Linked DNA regions of Arabidopsis thaliana. The protein of the gene in region 2 interacts with the protein of the main gene of each other region in a pairwise test. Each region holds a gene or a part of one and is shown on either strand. Other genes may lie near its edges.

The links. Proteins that work in one complex are often made in the same cells at the same time.
Region 1: the proteins of WRKY54 (region 2) and NAP1;1 interact in binary tests that used the Arabidopsis thaliana proteins (3 or more experiments, as listed by UniProt).

What each region holds. Positions count from the first base shown.
Region 1 is NC_003075.7:13,229,031-13,237,159, reverse strand, and holds NAP1;1 (nucleosome assembly protein1;1), read right to left. Parts: upstream 4,593-8,129; 5' UTR 4,449-4,592; coding exon 4,403-4,448; intron 4,281-4,402; coding exon 4,237-4,280; intron 4,042-4,236; coding exon 3,946-4,041; intron 3,786-3,945; coding exon 3,693-3,785; intron 3,541-3,692; coding exon 3,450-3,540; intron 3,357-3,449; coding exon 3,295-3,356; intron 3,206-3,294; coding exon 3,021-3,205; intron 2,883-3,020; coding exon 2,705-2,882; intron 2,627-2,704; coding exon 2,583-2,626; intron 2,446-2,582; coding exon 2,256-2,445; intron 2,151-2,255; coding exon 2,133-2,150; coding exon of another isoform or gene 2,100-2,132; exon of another isoform or gene 1,730-2,099; coding exon 1,658-1,729; 3' UTR 1,252-1,657; downstream 1-1,251. Other genes in the region: AT4G26120 (Ankyrin repeat family protein / BTB/POZ domain-containing protein), read right to left, coding at 1-84, 155-715; CK1 (casein kinase 1), read left to right, coding at 6,652-6,727, 6,822-6,862, 7,011-7,080, 7,173-7,321, 7,413-7,508, 7,601-7,671, 7,778-7,839, 7,959-8,022 and 1 more. UniProt on the Arabidopsis thaliana protein: May modulate chromatin structure by regulation of nucleosome assembly/disassembly. Contributes to the regulation of cell proliferation and cell expansion. May function in nucleotide excision repair (NER). Involved in somatic homologous recombination.
Region 2 is NC_003071.7:16,999,054-17,005,572, reverse strand, and holds WRKY54 (WRKY DNA-binding protein 54), read left to right. Parts: upstream 1-3,044; 5' UTR 3,045-3,218; coding exon 3,219-3,631; intron 3,632-4,119; coding exon 4,120-4,221; intron 4,222-4,411; coding exon 4,412-4,937; 3' UTR 4,938-5,154; downstream 5,155-6,519. Other genes in the region: WRKY55 (WRKY DNA-binding protein 55), read right to left, coding at 6,297-6,519. UniProt on the Arabidopsis thaliana protein: Transcription factor. Interacts specifically with the W box (5'-(T)TGAC[CT]-3'), a frequently occurring elicitor-responsive cis-acting element.

The DNA.
Region 1 (8,129 bases), on a different chromosome or scaffold from region 2:
TGTTGTACCACATAGAGTATCAAGCTTGAATATAACCAAGATGTCTTCGACTACAACTTTGTCTACAATTTCCAAGAACTGCCTCTGAAATGAAAACAGAGGAGACTTAAGATGATGTTATGAGTCAATGAGAATTTAGTGGATTGTGTTTTACCTCATACAGAGTAACTAATTCTTGAATCTGGAAAACGAAAGACAGATAAAGAACCTCCACCATGAAATCCACCTTTGACCGGCAAGCCACGTGGCAACAATCGTCGTCTACGCAAGCAGAAGCTCCCTTCGGCGGGGACCTCACTCTGCCGCTGTAAACATACGCCAAAACCGCCACAACCGAGTCAAAGCCGACTTCGTAATCTCTGGCGATCTCTTTCAGCTGGAGCTTCACGGTGGTGGAGGATTTTTGTTCCTTCACGGTGGCTAAAGCGCTTTTGAAGACAGGAATTCTCGCGGAAAGAATACAACGGTGAAAAGAAACTTCCCGGCCGCCGGCGAGAACTAGCTTAGCATCGCTGTAGAACGTCTCCGGCGAGTCGAAAACAGACTCGAGGCAGTTAGACAGAAGTTTAAGAGCTGATACCTCCGGTGGCGTGAGAAATTCCGTCGGATAATCAAGAGATGACTCGGCGGCGAAGAAGCTATTGCCGCTTGTGTTGCTGAACTCGTATGAATCAGAGAATCTAGCGGTGGTGGTGGTGGTGGTGGTGGCCATCATCACGAGATCGGCGGGAAACAAAACAGAGTCAAGAGTCTAATAACAGTGGAATTTCAAGAAACAACGACCGAATCGTTTCATTAGCAAATAAAAAAACGTATCATCAACAACGGTCTTTCTCAAGCACCTTTATTAGTAAATTTCTTGGAAACTAGATAGGTTTCTTAAAACGGAATATATTACGTCAAATACTCTGAATGGTAACGAAGCGGTCCCCTCTTCGCATGTCTCCAATTTACCAAACAGTGTTGCGACTTTTGAGTTTGTTTTTCATAACACCAAACACAAACAAGTGTCTCAAGTTTATTTAGCTAGCTTTTTTTTCCCCTCATTTAGCTCTAATGATGCATTAAACTTCTTAAGTAGTATGTGATTAGTCCAAATTGTGGATGTTCGGAACCTCACTTTCTTTGTGTTTTCCTTCTACAATAATTTAAATTATAATTAGTGTTGAACAAGCGGAGGCATTTAGTCAAATTACTCATCTTAAAGGTGAACTGATTTCGACCGATTTAGACTTGACTAATATAATATGGTCATAGTCCAATTATTCATCTTTTGTAGTCTTACACAACAAAATGGTTACCATTGAAAATCAAAGGACGGTGAACAAAAGAATAATGATCATTCCCACTACCCATTACTATCTAAATGGTTATTAAAATCTCTTTCGTCGACAAAGTTTAGGTAGGGGATGAAGTAGTGAATGCAGAGACTAGGGATGATGATGCTTGATTCATAAATTAAATACCAAGGTATATTATTAAAGTGCTTTAGAGAAAATAAACACACCAATAGAAAAACGAACGAAACTCCTACAAGATGAATTTCACTTTTAAAAATCCCAAAACCTTTTCTCAATCCTCATTCTTGATGAACAGAGAATGACCTGAATTATATTTTCACGCAATCCTTTTATGTCTGGTAGAGCGTAGTAAAAGATTACTGTTGCTTGCATTCGGGTGGCCTCTCATCTTGTTTACCTTCACCAACTATCTGAGATCTCCCTCCCTTCTGCAGTCCAAGAGGAAAAAAAAATTAAGCAGATGATTCTCACATTTATCACAAACATAGACACTGATTGCTAGTTTGCTACTATAGTAATAAAATGAATTCATGAGAATGGTTCTATCTCGTACTGCCCATGCCATGATTAAAGAGCTTGTTTAGTCTCTGCTGTGTCATTCATGTATCCTTCTCAGAGTCTTCTACGTAACTACCTATTTACTGATTCATACTTTTTAGGATTGCTCAGTTACTTTCAGCAATCTGTATGATTCATGGGCCTCTAGAGCCTACATTTCCGATATTAATTTCTATTTTCATCACAATGCTCAGCCTGAAACTTCTTGTGTTTGGTTATTTGAATGTTGGAGTTCCAAAATCAAATAAACTTTAGTTCTGAAAGGTTACATACCTTGTTGCCGATTGATGGCTGCAAAAAAAAATATTAAGCGATTTCAAAGGATTAGTAAAAAACTAACGTGGCATGAAGAAAAAAAAAAAAAAAAGAAACAACTATACTTGGGGCACTTTATACCTTCTTTTTGGTCTTGCTTTCTTCTTCATCCTCATCATCATCGTCCTCCTCATCCTCTTCGTCTTCCTCATCTTCATCCTCATCAATGTCATCTTCCTCATCGTCATCTATTTCAAAATCCTCTGCTTCCATAGCCTCACCAGTAAACCATGAGACAGCACGAGGAATAATCTTTTCCCGAATAGTAGATCTGCAGAAAGTAAAAAGTACTTGTGATCAGATAATAATGAAAGGGTAACCACCTTGATTGCAGTGATAAAGTAGTCCCATGACTCAAAAGCAAACCCATAAAATCAACAGAGAAAGTGTGTTTAGAAAAAGACGAACCCGATGTCATAATCTTGTTCCATCAGGTTTTGAAGATCCTCAGCCTGCATCAAAGAACGAGAAAGAGTTACTAAATACATTAACTAAATGATGACAGGTTTTTCTAACAATCGTTATCTTACTCTTTCCTCGTCGATATCTTCATCTTCATCCGGAACTTCTGGAGGACTAAAGAAGTTGAAGAAGCTTTCACAATCTTCGAGTTTGGTGATTGGTTTAGTATTCTTTGAACCTTTCTTAGGCTTCTTCTTGAGAATCTTCTGAGTTAGACACTTTCCAGGATACCAATCAATTTCTGTCCTGAAAATGAATGGTGAAAGAATAAGAATCCATTTGCAATATAAGCGAAGAAAAAAAATAAGCAGCTCAATGCAATCAGCTAATAAGCAGAATATACTTAAAAGTATACAACAATTGCAAGAGAGTATAAGTAGTTACCCCATAGCCTTCTCAAGCAGTGGCTCATCTTCATCAATCATATGATAAGACTTTGTCAAGACAGTGTTCTTAAAATACGGATTCGTGTCAAAGAAAAACTCAAGTTTGAATCCTTTAGGCTCTTCAATCTTGCACCACTTAATATCTTTAAGATATTTGAGAGCCCCTTCATCACGCTCTGTGACCTGACATAAATGACAATAAGTTATGCTCATATTCCATGGTTATGATTGGAGTGTTTATAAAACGAACACCAAAACTGCATATAGGCTACCTCCTCGGAAATAACATCGTTATTTTTCAGAGCTGTCAGCCAGAAACTTGGAACTCCTTTCTCTGCAATGAAAAACAGAGAAAAATGTTAAATTGTTTTTGTCTTTCCAAAAAGATTAACAACAAACAAAGAAGACATAGTGCTCATGAAGTTACCTTCTGCAGTTTTCTCCTCTCCTTGGTCCACCTTGGTATCATCCTCTGGAGCCAGTTCAACTTCAGTAGTGCCATTCACAATCTCATAACGCTGTGCCATTACAAGATACCAAGTAGAATTCATTAAGATGCACATAGAAAACTAACACTGCTGCAGATAAGTAAACATAAGCAAAAAGAGTATACACAGATCTACATTGAGTTTAGTAAAATGGTTTGTAAAACTTTCTCATTAACAATTACCTTGACATACAAAGGCTGATACAGCGTTTGATACTTGGCTTCAAGAATAGCTCTCTCCTCACGGAATTTTGCCTCTAGTTCATCATGTTGGCTCTGCGTGGAAAGAAGTCATCAGTAATCAAAACGCAACACCTTACTTTTGAAACTTTAAATTCAGATAAGCAGGGAGAAAACTCACACAAAACAAAACAAACCCCATTAAACGATATATAGCACACATAGTTTGGTAAAATGTGAAAGAAATTTCGCTAACCTGTATATCCCTCAAGGCATCAACGCGCTTTCTCACATTGGGAGTCAGATTCTCGAGCACATCAGAACGCTGACCAGCCAGATTCTGCAGCTTGTTCTGTGAATTAATAACAATGTATTAACAACTCATAAACTATCATTGTACTAGAAGAATGACATTGAAACCAAAACACTAAACACCAAGACACGGCTTATAGTATCTAAACAATCAGAGGAAAGTAACTCAACATCCTCCATATCTTTCAATAGCAAATGCTCACGGGACAGTTTACAGAAGGGGAAAAAAACTCACCTTTAGAGCATTGACAAGGCCAGCTCGATCCTCGTCCTTAAGAGCTGCAAAAAAACAGTAAACAAAAGGAACACCAGTCAGATAACAGAGGAAATTAGGGTTAAAGCAGCTCTGGCTTAAGAGGCGGAGAAAGAGATAAGAGTAATCGTGAGTAGGAGTATTTTACCAGCAGTAAGATCGGAGACGTTGAAGCTATCCTTGTCGTTGCTCATCTTCTGAGGATTTGGTGAAGAGAGAGATTTTGAAGAAGAAGAAGCAGAAGAGACTAGGGACAAGGGTTTTGGGGAGGCGACTCGTAACCCTTAAATCCTCTTTGTTTTTTTGTTTTTTTCTCTCCCTCCTTTTCACACCAAAATTATAACAAATGCCATTTTAGTTTTTTCTCTTTTTATATATACTTTTCTTTCTCTAAAAATTGATGTTTAATGTTTTAAAAAGCAAAATTAAGTTTATTGAATTAAATAACATGCAAAACTTTACATACATATATATATGGATAATGAGAACTGACTTATATATAGATAATTAAAGTTTATTTATGAATTCAATCAATTATAAATATATATAACTAATATATAAACTTTAATTATCTATATAATTAAAATTTTGCATGTAATTATATTAATTATCTATATACTTATATATATATATATACACTTATATATATTTGATTCTTCACCAAATACAGTACAGGTTAGTGAACTTTAATGGGATCAAATAGAAGATTTCTGAATCTGTTAGTACTAAGGCCCATCCCAAGAATGAGCCTTCCAAGCCCAATACACTGATTACTTCTTTTGTTCACATACACTGTACATACTAATTAAAAACAAAAAACAGTCCACAACAAAAACAAAAAAACAGTCCACAACAAAAAGTCATATCCCAAAAGGCACAAAGATCTTTAGTTTGGTTTAAGCTCATCCCGAGTTCAAACGAATTAAACGTACTCTAATCTAGATTAGCTCATCACGACATTTTCAATTTGAAGTTTCAACCTTTTATACGTCTGACCAGAAACACAATAAAGAAGCCTCACGCGTAGCATTTTTTTTTAACCAGAAAACCATGAGACAAATTCAACCTAATCAGATAACTGTAAATCATTTCATTCATCCTATTAAAAGCAAAGGTGAAAAGCTTTTTGTACCTCCACGACTCCCACTTAAGAGAAACATTTTGTAGAGCTTTCAAGTCACGCGTAGCAAACACACCTGGTAAGTGGTCAATCTTTTTATATCATATAGCCATCATAAGAGTATCATTAATAGTAGTTTCTTAGCATAATCTTAATAGTTCTTATGAATATTTTTATAATTGATTTTGAAAATTTTGAAGTTAAGAATTTAGTTAAGAGATTGAAATTTTGGCAATATGCAATGGTGGACTCTTAACTTGAGTTCTTAAAAAAAAAATTGGAAAAAAAGTAGAAACATTATAATTTTAAAAAACTTAATAATTATTACAACTCAAAAAATTTGAAACATACATAACATAAAATTTTAAACAAATATGACAAACAATTAGATTTAATACTTAATTTATCTAAGAATTAAGATTAATTGAATTAAAACATTATATTTAATACCTAATTTATCTAAGAATTAACCTAAGAAACATTAGATTTGGCTCTTATATAAGAGTCATTTTTAACAATTAATTGAATTATAACATTAAATTTAAGACCTACTTTATCTAAGAACTAACCTTATAAACTATGAATAATGATGGTCTAAGCGCGCTTGTTGTTGAAACTCTCAAATAAACCGGATAATTTTAAAACCAGGTTTAGTTTAGTTGGTAGATTCGGCTCAAATAGTAGTATTTTTGTGGATTTAAAGATGCTCAGCATGTATATACATATGTGTTCTATAGATGTTTTACACATTTTTTCTATTTTACTATTCTGCTTGCCATAATCATTAGATTGTTTGGTTGAACCGAAGCATAGAAACCAAACCGAACATAGCACACAGCAACAAAACCGGAATCATTCAGAGGTAAATAATTTTTTTACATTACCCGCAACTGCAAGGAAAGAGGAAAAAAAAAAAGACGCAAACTTTGAGAAAGACATCCTCATCGTTTTCTGTCCATCGAAGCTCTTTTTTTTTTTTTTTTTTTTTATCTTCGTATTCAATTCTTGAGAGGAGAGAGAGAGAGAGAAGCATCCCAGAAAACGACATTCTGTTCATATGGAGTTTTTTCACCAGATCGAGAGCACGAAGAAGATGATTACTGGGTTTTGATTTAGTCGGCGAAAAATCCGTAATCTCATTGTTCGTGATCTCTGGGTTGTTTTTCTGGATTGCTGGTGCGGCTGATTCTAGTCAGGATTGTTTTTGGGGTCCCTTTCGCTCTATTTGAATCTGCGTCTGGGTTGTTAAGATTGTACAAGGGGTTTCGTGGTTATTTATGGAACCTCGTGTGGGGAACAAGTTTCGTCTCGGCCGAAAGATCGGTAGTGGTTCGTTTGGAGAGATCTATCTCGGTTCGTCTCTCTCTCACTTTCTAGTTTTTAATTTTATGGATTATCGAATTCGTCACATTATCTCTAACATTGTTGTTAACCTGTGATTTTCCAGGTACTAATATTCATACGAATGAAGAACTGGCTATTAAGCTTGTGAGTTCTTCAGTCATCCCATTTTAATAATTTGATGATCAAAAAGTTTATGGATTTATAAGTAACATTATCACAATATGTTTAGTTTGATCAAGTTCAGTATGTTGAAAAGCTGAGATTTTGATTCTCTTTGTTTTTGTTTTCCCAGGAAAATGTGAAGACAAAACATCCACAGCTGCTCTATGAATCGAAGTTATACAGGATTCTACAAGGGGGAAGTAATGATTCTTATCTTCTGAATGAGATATTGATTTCTGATAATGTAAAGTTTGTGTTACTTATGACCTTTCTTTTGCCTTAACTTTGGTAGCTGGTGTTCCAAATGTCAAATGGTTTGGTGTTGAAGGGGACTATAATGTTTTGGTGATGGATCTACTCGGACCAAGTCTTGAAGATCTCTTCAATTTTTGTAGCAGGAAACTTTCATTGAAGTCTGTCCTCATGCTTGCTGATCAAATGGTATACTTCTTCATGTGACGCCTTTCTTTCATTTGCTCCTCTATGTTTCAGGAAATATTGACTTCTTTCTTCCTTTGGTTTTTGTGATAAGATCAACCGTGTTGAGTTTTTTCATTCAAAGTCTTTCCTTCACCGAGATCTTAAGCCAGACAACTTCCTCATGGGCCTTGGAAGGCGTGCGAACCAGGTTTATCATCTTATTGTCTTAACTATATCCTTTTGGTCTTATTTTACTTTTGGAGACATCATTGTATTGACCAAGTTTAATCCTTCTCTAAGGTATACATCATTGACTTTGGTCTTGCTAAGAAGTATAGGGATAGTACAACACATCAGCACATTCCCTACAGGTGAGGCGATCATTGTATCAGCTCTTGAATGTTCTTCCCTTGAGCATGATTCCGTTGTTATGTGATGACTGGAAACGCTAATTTTTCCCATGATTCTCATTTGCAGGGAAAATAAAAACCTGACAGGAACTGCGAGATATGCTAGTATGAACACTCACTTGGGAATTGGTAAGCTCGACAAGACCTGCTTCATGTTAATTTGTTCCAGTCACTCTCCTTATGTGTTTGAGTTATAAGGTTTGATACTCATCAGCTGTTATTTGTTTTCTGGCATTGCGAACCTGAAGAACAAAGTCGAAGGGATGATCTTGAGTCTCTTGGTTACATCCTTATGTATTTCCTCAAAGGAAGGTGAGTTTATGCTACATGCCTCACACTCTCTTCACTTTATTTCCCTAACTTCTTCAGTTTGATTGATGTGTGGAATATCTCTGTTTTAGTCTTCCATGGCAAGGACT
Region 2 (6,519 bases):
AGATTGGTGAAGTGTATCAAAACCATTTGTGATAATACTTGACACTTGGTAACTGTATCACCACTTTAATTGAATCTCAAATATTACGATTTTTTTATCAGTCAGGTTGACTTAAATATAACAAATCTATAGACAATATAGGTAATAAATTTTAAGTTTCTTATAACTGGCACGACCAGAATATCCATAAACGAGCACCGGCTTTTGTATATGTTTTAGGAGTCATGTCTTTTAATTTTAGAGTCCCTTCTTACATTGAACGACCTTTTGGCTACATATGTAGACACAATCAATAGTTGATCATAAACAACTTTATATATGTATATATATATATATATATATATAGATATTTATATATTTATAACTTTATAAGACAAAGAGTGGGTTCAGATTAGTACTCACAGAACTCAAACAATAATAGAACCGATCAACTAGCCAAAACAGAAAAGTGTTCCTAGTTGAAATCAAATGACACCTAGAAATAAAACAAATCACTAGGTTACAAAAAAAACGGTTTAGTACAAATTAAAACTTGATAGTTTGAGATCTGAGTAGTGATCGCTAAATGGGATTTAGTTCTAAATACATTAAAGATTAAAAAAAGTAGAGGCTGCCGTAAAATTAGTGGGGACTAATTAAGAAATAAAATAAAGTAATAATGACCATAATTATAATTTATATAACTATGAGTTGGATCTAGTTGAATTATTGACGTTTTCAACGTACTTTTATTGGTGTTCAACTTTTTCTGTATTTTAAAAAAATAATATGAAATTAGATTCGTACGTAGCAAGGACTGTCTCTTGCGAATTGATGAAATAATTATACTTGAGACAAAGAATTCTCTGATTGGGTATAGCACGAAATAAGATTCAACTTACACATTTAAGAACTATATGTTTTGCATATAAAAAATTAAACCAAATTTTAAATTTCGTGACAGATAATGATCCAGAGTAGTCTTAGCGATAAGTAGCAATCCGTTAATCGAGGCCTCTTGGTTAATTATTTTTTAAGACAACTAAGCTTAAGATTAGATTAAGCACAAAATGATGTATTTATAATAAACATTGTTATTATTCTAATAACCATTTGTCATTTGTCAATAGCAGTTCCCCAATCATCGTTGACCTTTCTCTCATCATCTCCGAAAGAAAGCAATAATTTAACATTTGAATATAACTAGTGTCCATATTTTGACAATCTCTAAATGATTAATCAGTTGGGATTTATAGATAAATGCCGAATTTGGATGAGTAAACGAAGAAGTAAAACAAAGCTGTTTGGACATATTTATTGGTTCAAACCGAGAAATAACACATTCATCTTTTTACGATCGAAGTCAACTACTACAACAACAAAAATATCGTTAATTAGTTCGTACACAAATTATATTTCATAAATATTTCATCGTTCTACCATTATACTACTCACCGTTCATTATTATTGTTGGTATAATCTGTTTCGTTAAGTTGTATGATAAATTAAAACTAGTAAAGCCGTTTTGTTTTTGTTTATAGTTGAAAAAGTAAGCGTAATATAATCTGTAATTTCTAGAGAATTAATAAGCAAACAAATGGATTTGACTCTTATGGATTTTTTTTATTTATTTGCGAGTGGATGTACAATGTGGACTGAAATTATTGTGACTCCGAGGAGTACTCAGTGGCACCTGCCCCCTCATTGCCGTCACAATATCCCAATACTAAACAAATGTTACTTTTTTAAAAAATATTGTTTTTTTTGGTAGGAAAAAAGATGTATTGTTTTATGCGTCACAGAAATAAAAATAATAATTAACCAACTCAAAATTACTCATTTTAATGAAACGAAGATATTTTTCATTCAACGGATCAAAAATTCAAAATGAGTCATTTCTTACGATCATAGGTTTTAATTTATTTTTGGTATTAAATGAGATGACTCACACAAATATTTCAATAGTTACACGAGTATTAATTAAAGTAGTGACAGTTTCAACAAATTTTAATATTTTTGTTCAGTTCAAAATTCATAGATTTTTAATAAAATCAGTACTGCCAAAGTGATCAGGGCCAAGCAAGCAATAGGCTGACATAACCTAGAGTTGTGACTTGTGATTGTATTGGTTCTTTTACCAAATGATCCAAAACATTGATTATCTACTTAAGTACTTTTCCGGCGTTTTTAATGGCAGTTCTACAAAACATAAAGATAAAATTAAATAACGTTGGCTTAGTATAATGAGATTAATCTTGATTACTAGTTTTAGATCCGAACTAAGCGGTCTCACCACGATTATCTATATATATATATATATATATATATATATATATATGCTTATAGCTTTTAGTTTTAGTAGCTAGTCTATCCATGACAAAATTCATCAATGAGAATATTCATTAGGATCCTTCTGCTTCCGTAAATGCACGAGAATACACACGTATAAATAGTTTCTTCTTAGGAAAAATACTACTATATAGCAAAACATATACATTTATATCTTCAAAATAAAATTACGAGATTGATAAAACTCTAAATATTATTCTGTCTTAAGACTATTTGACCCAATTACTCTTAAAATATATTAGTGGTTGGTCTGATATAGAATATATCTTGTCAACATTTATCCTCTTTAATTATCAAAAAAAAAAAACAGTTCTCCTTATTTTGGTTCTTTCCCTTGAAAGTGAATTTCGTGGTACTGAAAAATAATTTGAATGTCATAAAATATTAGTTATATAACTCTTTCTCCAAGATAAAAACAAAATAATTTTTCGCAAAAAACATTTAAAAATCTAACCAAGTTGTTGGATCGTTTTCATGAGCATTAATTAATTAAATAAATCCGCGAAGAAAGGAGAAAAAAAATACCCACCAAGCCATCAAACGTGTTACGGAGATGGGTGATGTCATTCCACATCATCAATGTGACATAAGCAAAGCTCTTGCAAGCCAATGGGTGAATAGATAAGTTATAACTTTCCAATTATAACCTCAAATCCATGACTAAATTCATAACTACGTTGGTTACTTTCCCTTTATACCCTTTCATGTTCATTATAATGCATAAGCATCTCTCTCTCTTTCCTAAGCATCTTCCTTTGATTTTTTTCTGATCAAGAGAAAAAATCTATTTTCTTCTCTTTCCACTATATTACAACATTTCTTCATTCTCAAATCATCATACTAAAAACCTAAAAAAAGTTACATATTCATTGTATCTTTGTGAGAAAAAAATGGATTCGAATAGTAACAACACGAAATCCATAAAGAGAAAAGTTGTCGACCAACTTGTCGAAGGCTATGAATTCGCTACTCAGCTTCAGCTTCTCCTTTCTCATCAACACTCTAACCAGTACCACATCGATGAGACCCGTCTTGTTTCCGGGTCGGGTTCAGTTTCCGGTGGTCCAGATCCCGTTGATGAGCTCATGTCTAAGATCTTGGGATCTTTCCATAAAACTATATCGGTTCTTGATTCTTTTGATCCCGTCGCCGTCTCTGTCCCCATCGCCGTCGAGGGTTCATGGAATGCTTCATGTGGGGATGATTCGGCGACTCCGGTGAGTTGCAACGGTGGAGATTCCGGTGAGAGTAAGAAGAAGAGATTAGGGGTTGGTAAGGGTAAAAGAGGATGCTACACTAGAAAGTAAGTGACAAAAAAAGTTGAATTCAAATATCAATTTATTATGTTATATTTTTATTCGTGTTTAATGATATAATCTCCTTTTTATGTGGATTTTATTCGAACTTTTTTCATTACAATTTGCTATTTTTGTCTATGGATACCATCATATAGTGGTAGTGCCCCATATAGAAATGACTAATCGTAAAGGTTAAAAGGATATGAATTTGTTCATAATGTCTAGTGCTTAATATATACTAAAAATACAATCACTGTTTGTGTGAATGGTAGTGATAGGAATCGTATGAATACGATTGATTGGATAGGGCCAATCAATGCTGACTATACCATACATAACTTTACCGAATTTTGTTTTACTTTCTATTAGTGTATAATTGCGATTAGTTTGGTACAAACAAGACTGAATGTACCGTGGATTTGTTTGAAATGAACATAAAAAGGCAAAAATGGTTTAGTCATTTATTAACAAATTTGTGATTTATCATTTGCAGGACGAGATCACATACAAGGATCGTGGAAGCTAAAAGTTCTGAAGACAGATATGCTTGGAGGAAATATGGACAAAAGGAGATTCTTAATACCACATTCCCAAGGTCCTTAATTACCTAACTCCTTATATGTCTATTTATGTATCTATATACTCACAATACATATATAATACATATAAACATGGGCAACTCATTTTTATACCAGGGATCTCTAGCCGAAACATATGTTATATTTCAAGTCACTATGTGAAGTTTGCAATGGCCTAAAATCAATATGCGTTTTAATGTTTTGCAGAAGTTACTTTAGATGCACACACAAGCCAACGCAAGGATGCAAAGCAACAAAGCAAGTTCAGAAACAGGATCAAGATTCTGAGATGTTCCAAATCACATACATTGGCTACCACACATGCACTGCCAATGACCAAACGCACGCGAAGACCGAGCCTTTTGATCAAGAAATCATTATGGATTCGGAAAAGACATTGGCTGCTAGCACTGCTCAGAACCATGTCAATGCTATGGTGCAAGAGCAAGAGAACAACACCAGCAGTGTGACAGCAATAGACGCAGGCATGGTTAAGGAGGAACAAAATAACAATGGTGATCAGAGTAAAGATTATTATGAGGGCTCTTCGACAGGTGAGGACTTGTCATTGGTTTGGCAAGAGACGATGATGTTTGATGATCATCAAAATCACTACTATTGTGGTGAAACCAGTACTACTTCTCATCAATTTGGTTTCATCGACAACGATGATCAGTTTTCCTCCTTCTTCGACTCATATTGTGCTGATTATGAAAGAACAAGTGCTATGTGAACATCCAAATCTGGAATGATGAATCAGCACTAGGTCTTCTCTTTGAGTATGTCTAGTTTAATGTAATATTTTTGTTGTATGTTTGATAAAAACACCATATATACTTCTCTTTTTACACCATTCACATGTTTTTTTCTTCCACAAGTTTATTTTGGATACATCATGACACTAAAGATGGCAAAACTTTAATGGATTACCAATTAAACTTAGAATAAACCAACCTCCATAACTGCGCAAGTTCATTTGTCTTTATGGTTATTATTAGTGCTTTTAATTTTGGATTCTATAATTATGATAGATGAATATGATTACCTAAAGAGTGTAAAGAGACTTATCCATTCAAATTGCGGCTATGAATGTTTGCTGCTAAAAAGGAAAAAGTTGGGACAAATGCATTTTGGAACTGTCGTGCTTGTCTTTTTGTTGTTGTTGGCATGTTACCTTTACATAAGCATCACCGTGTACACTAGGGCATTGATTAATGCTTGTTACAACAATAAAACAAAATAAATTAAGCTATAATGTTCGGTTCGGTACAAGTACTTTTTCTTATACAAACTAAATTTAATTCACCCCTGTAATTTGAAAAATCAAATATAACTCCATGAAATCATTTTTAATAGATGTCTAAATATTGATGACTTTTATATATGTTACAGTGTACTGCTATGAAAATAATTGAGAGAATAAAGTGTTTTCTCTGTCGACATAACAAACACAAAAGATGAACAAAAAGGCAAGCAAATTTGGATTCATGAGAATGATGACGGTCAAAGGACCATCACTTCCACTCGAAGAGCTTGTTTAGACACGGAACACACCTTTTCTAATTATTTGGATTCTTAAGTTTGAGAAAAGACAACAACAAAAAGAAAAAAACACCAACAACAAGTTCATGACAGTTTGTGAGAAACTGACAAACTAATAATTTCCCCCCTAATTTTGATTTCTTAAAGAAATTACTTTGGTTATGTAAGATTTTCTATATATGTTAACTTTAAGAAAAGAATAAAATAAGAGATTGAGAAGAAAAACAAAATACATATGTGAAACACTAAATACAAAACACTTTTTCATTGTCAAAGAAACAGAACTACTACCCTATAAGAAATGGTTCTCATTAGATCCCATTTCACGTGTAATAGTGCAAAACTATAATAATAGTAATATAAATAAATTAAATTAACAACAATTAGTGATTTGTGCTAATGTTGGCACTGCATCACTCACTACCCATACATAAAATCCGCAGAACTTAATCTTAAGAAATACTGTATATTTTTCCTCTGTACGTAGATGAATCTTGATTGTTTTCGTCACCGTCAATCCGTCATCCAGCTGCCGGAAACGGTGATGATGTTAAGATGGATCGTTTTTAGGAAATATGAAATCCATGTTGGTTCCGACCCCGCCGCTACCAAACATAACATCAGCCATGTCAACGACAGCAAGACCGTAGTCAACAGAATGACCAGTGGTGACGGATGAGATTGGAATGGTACTTGGAGTGGCAGAGGATGCGGTTGGAGCGGTTGAGTTGTAGCAAGTGTGTGAGCCACGGTATGTGACCCGGAAGGTGAAG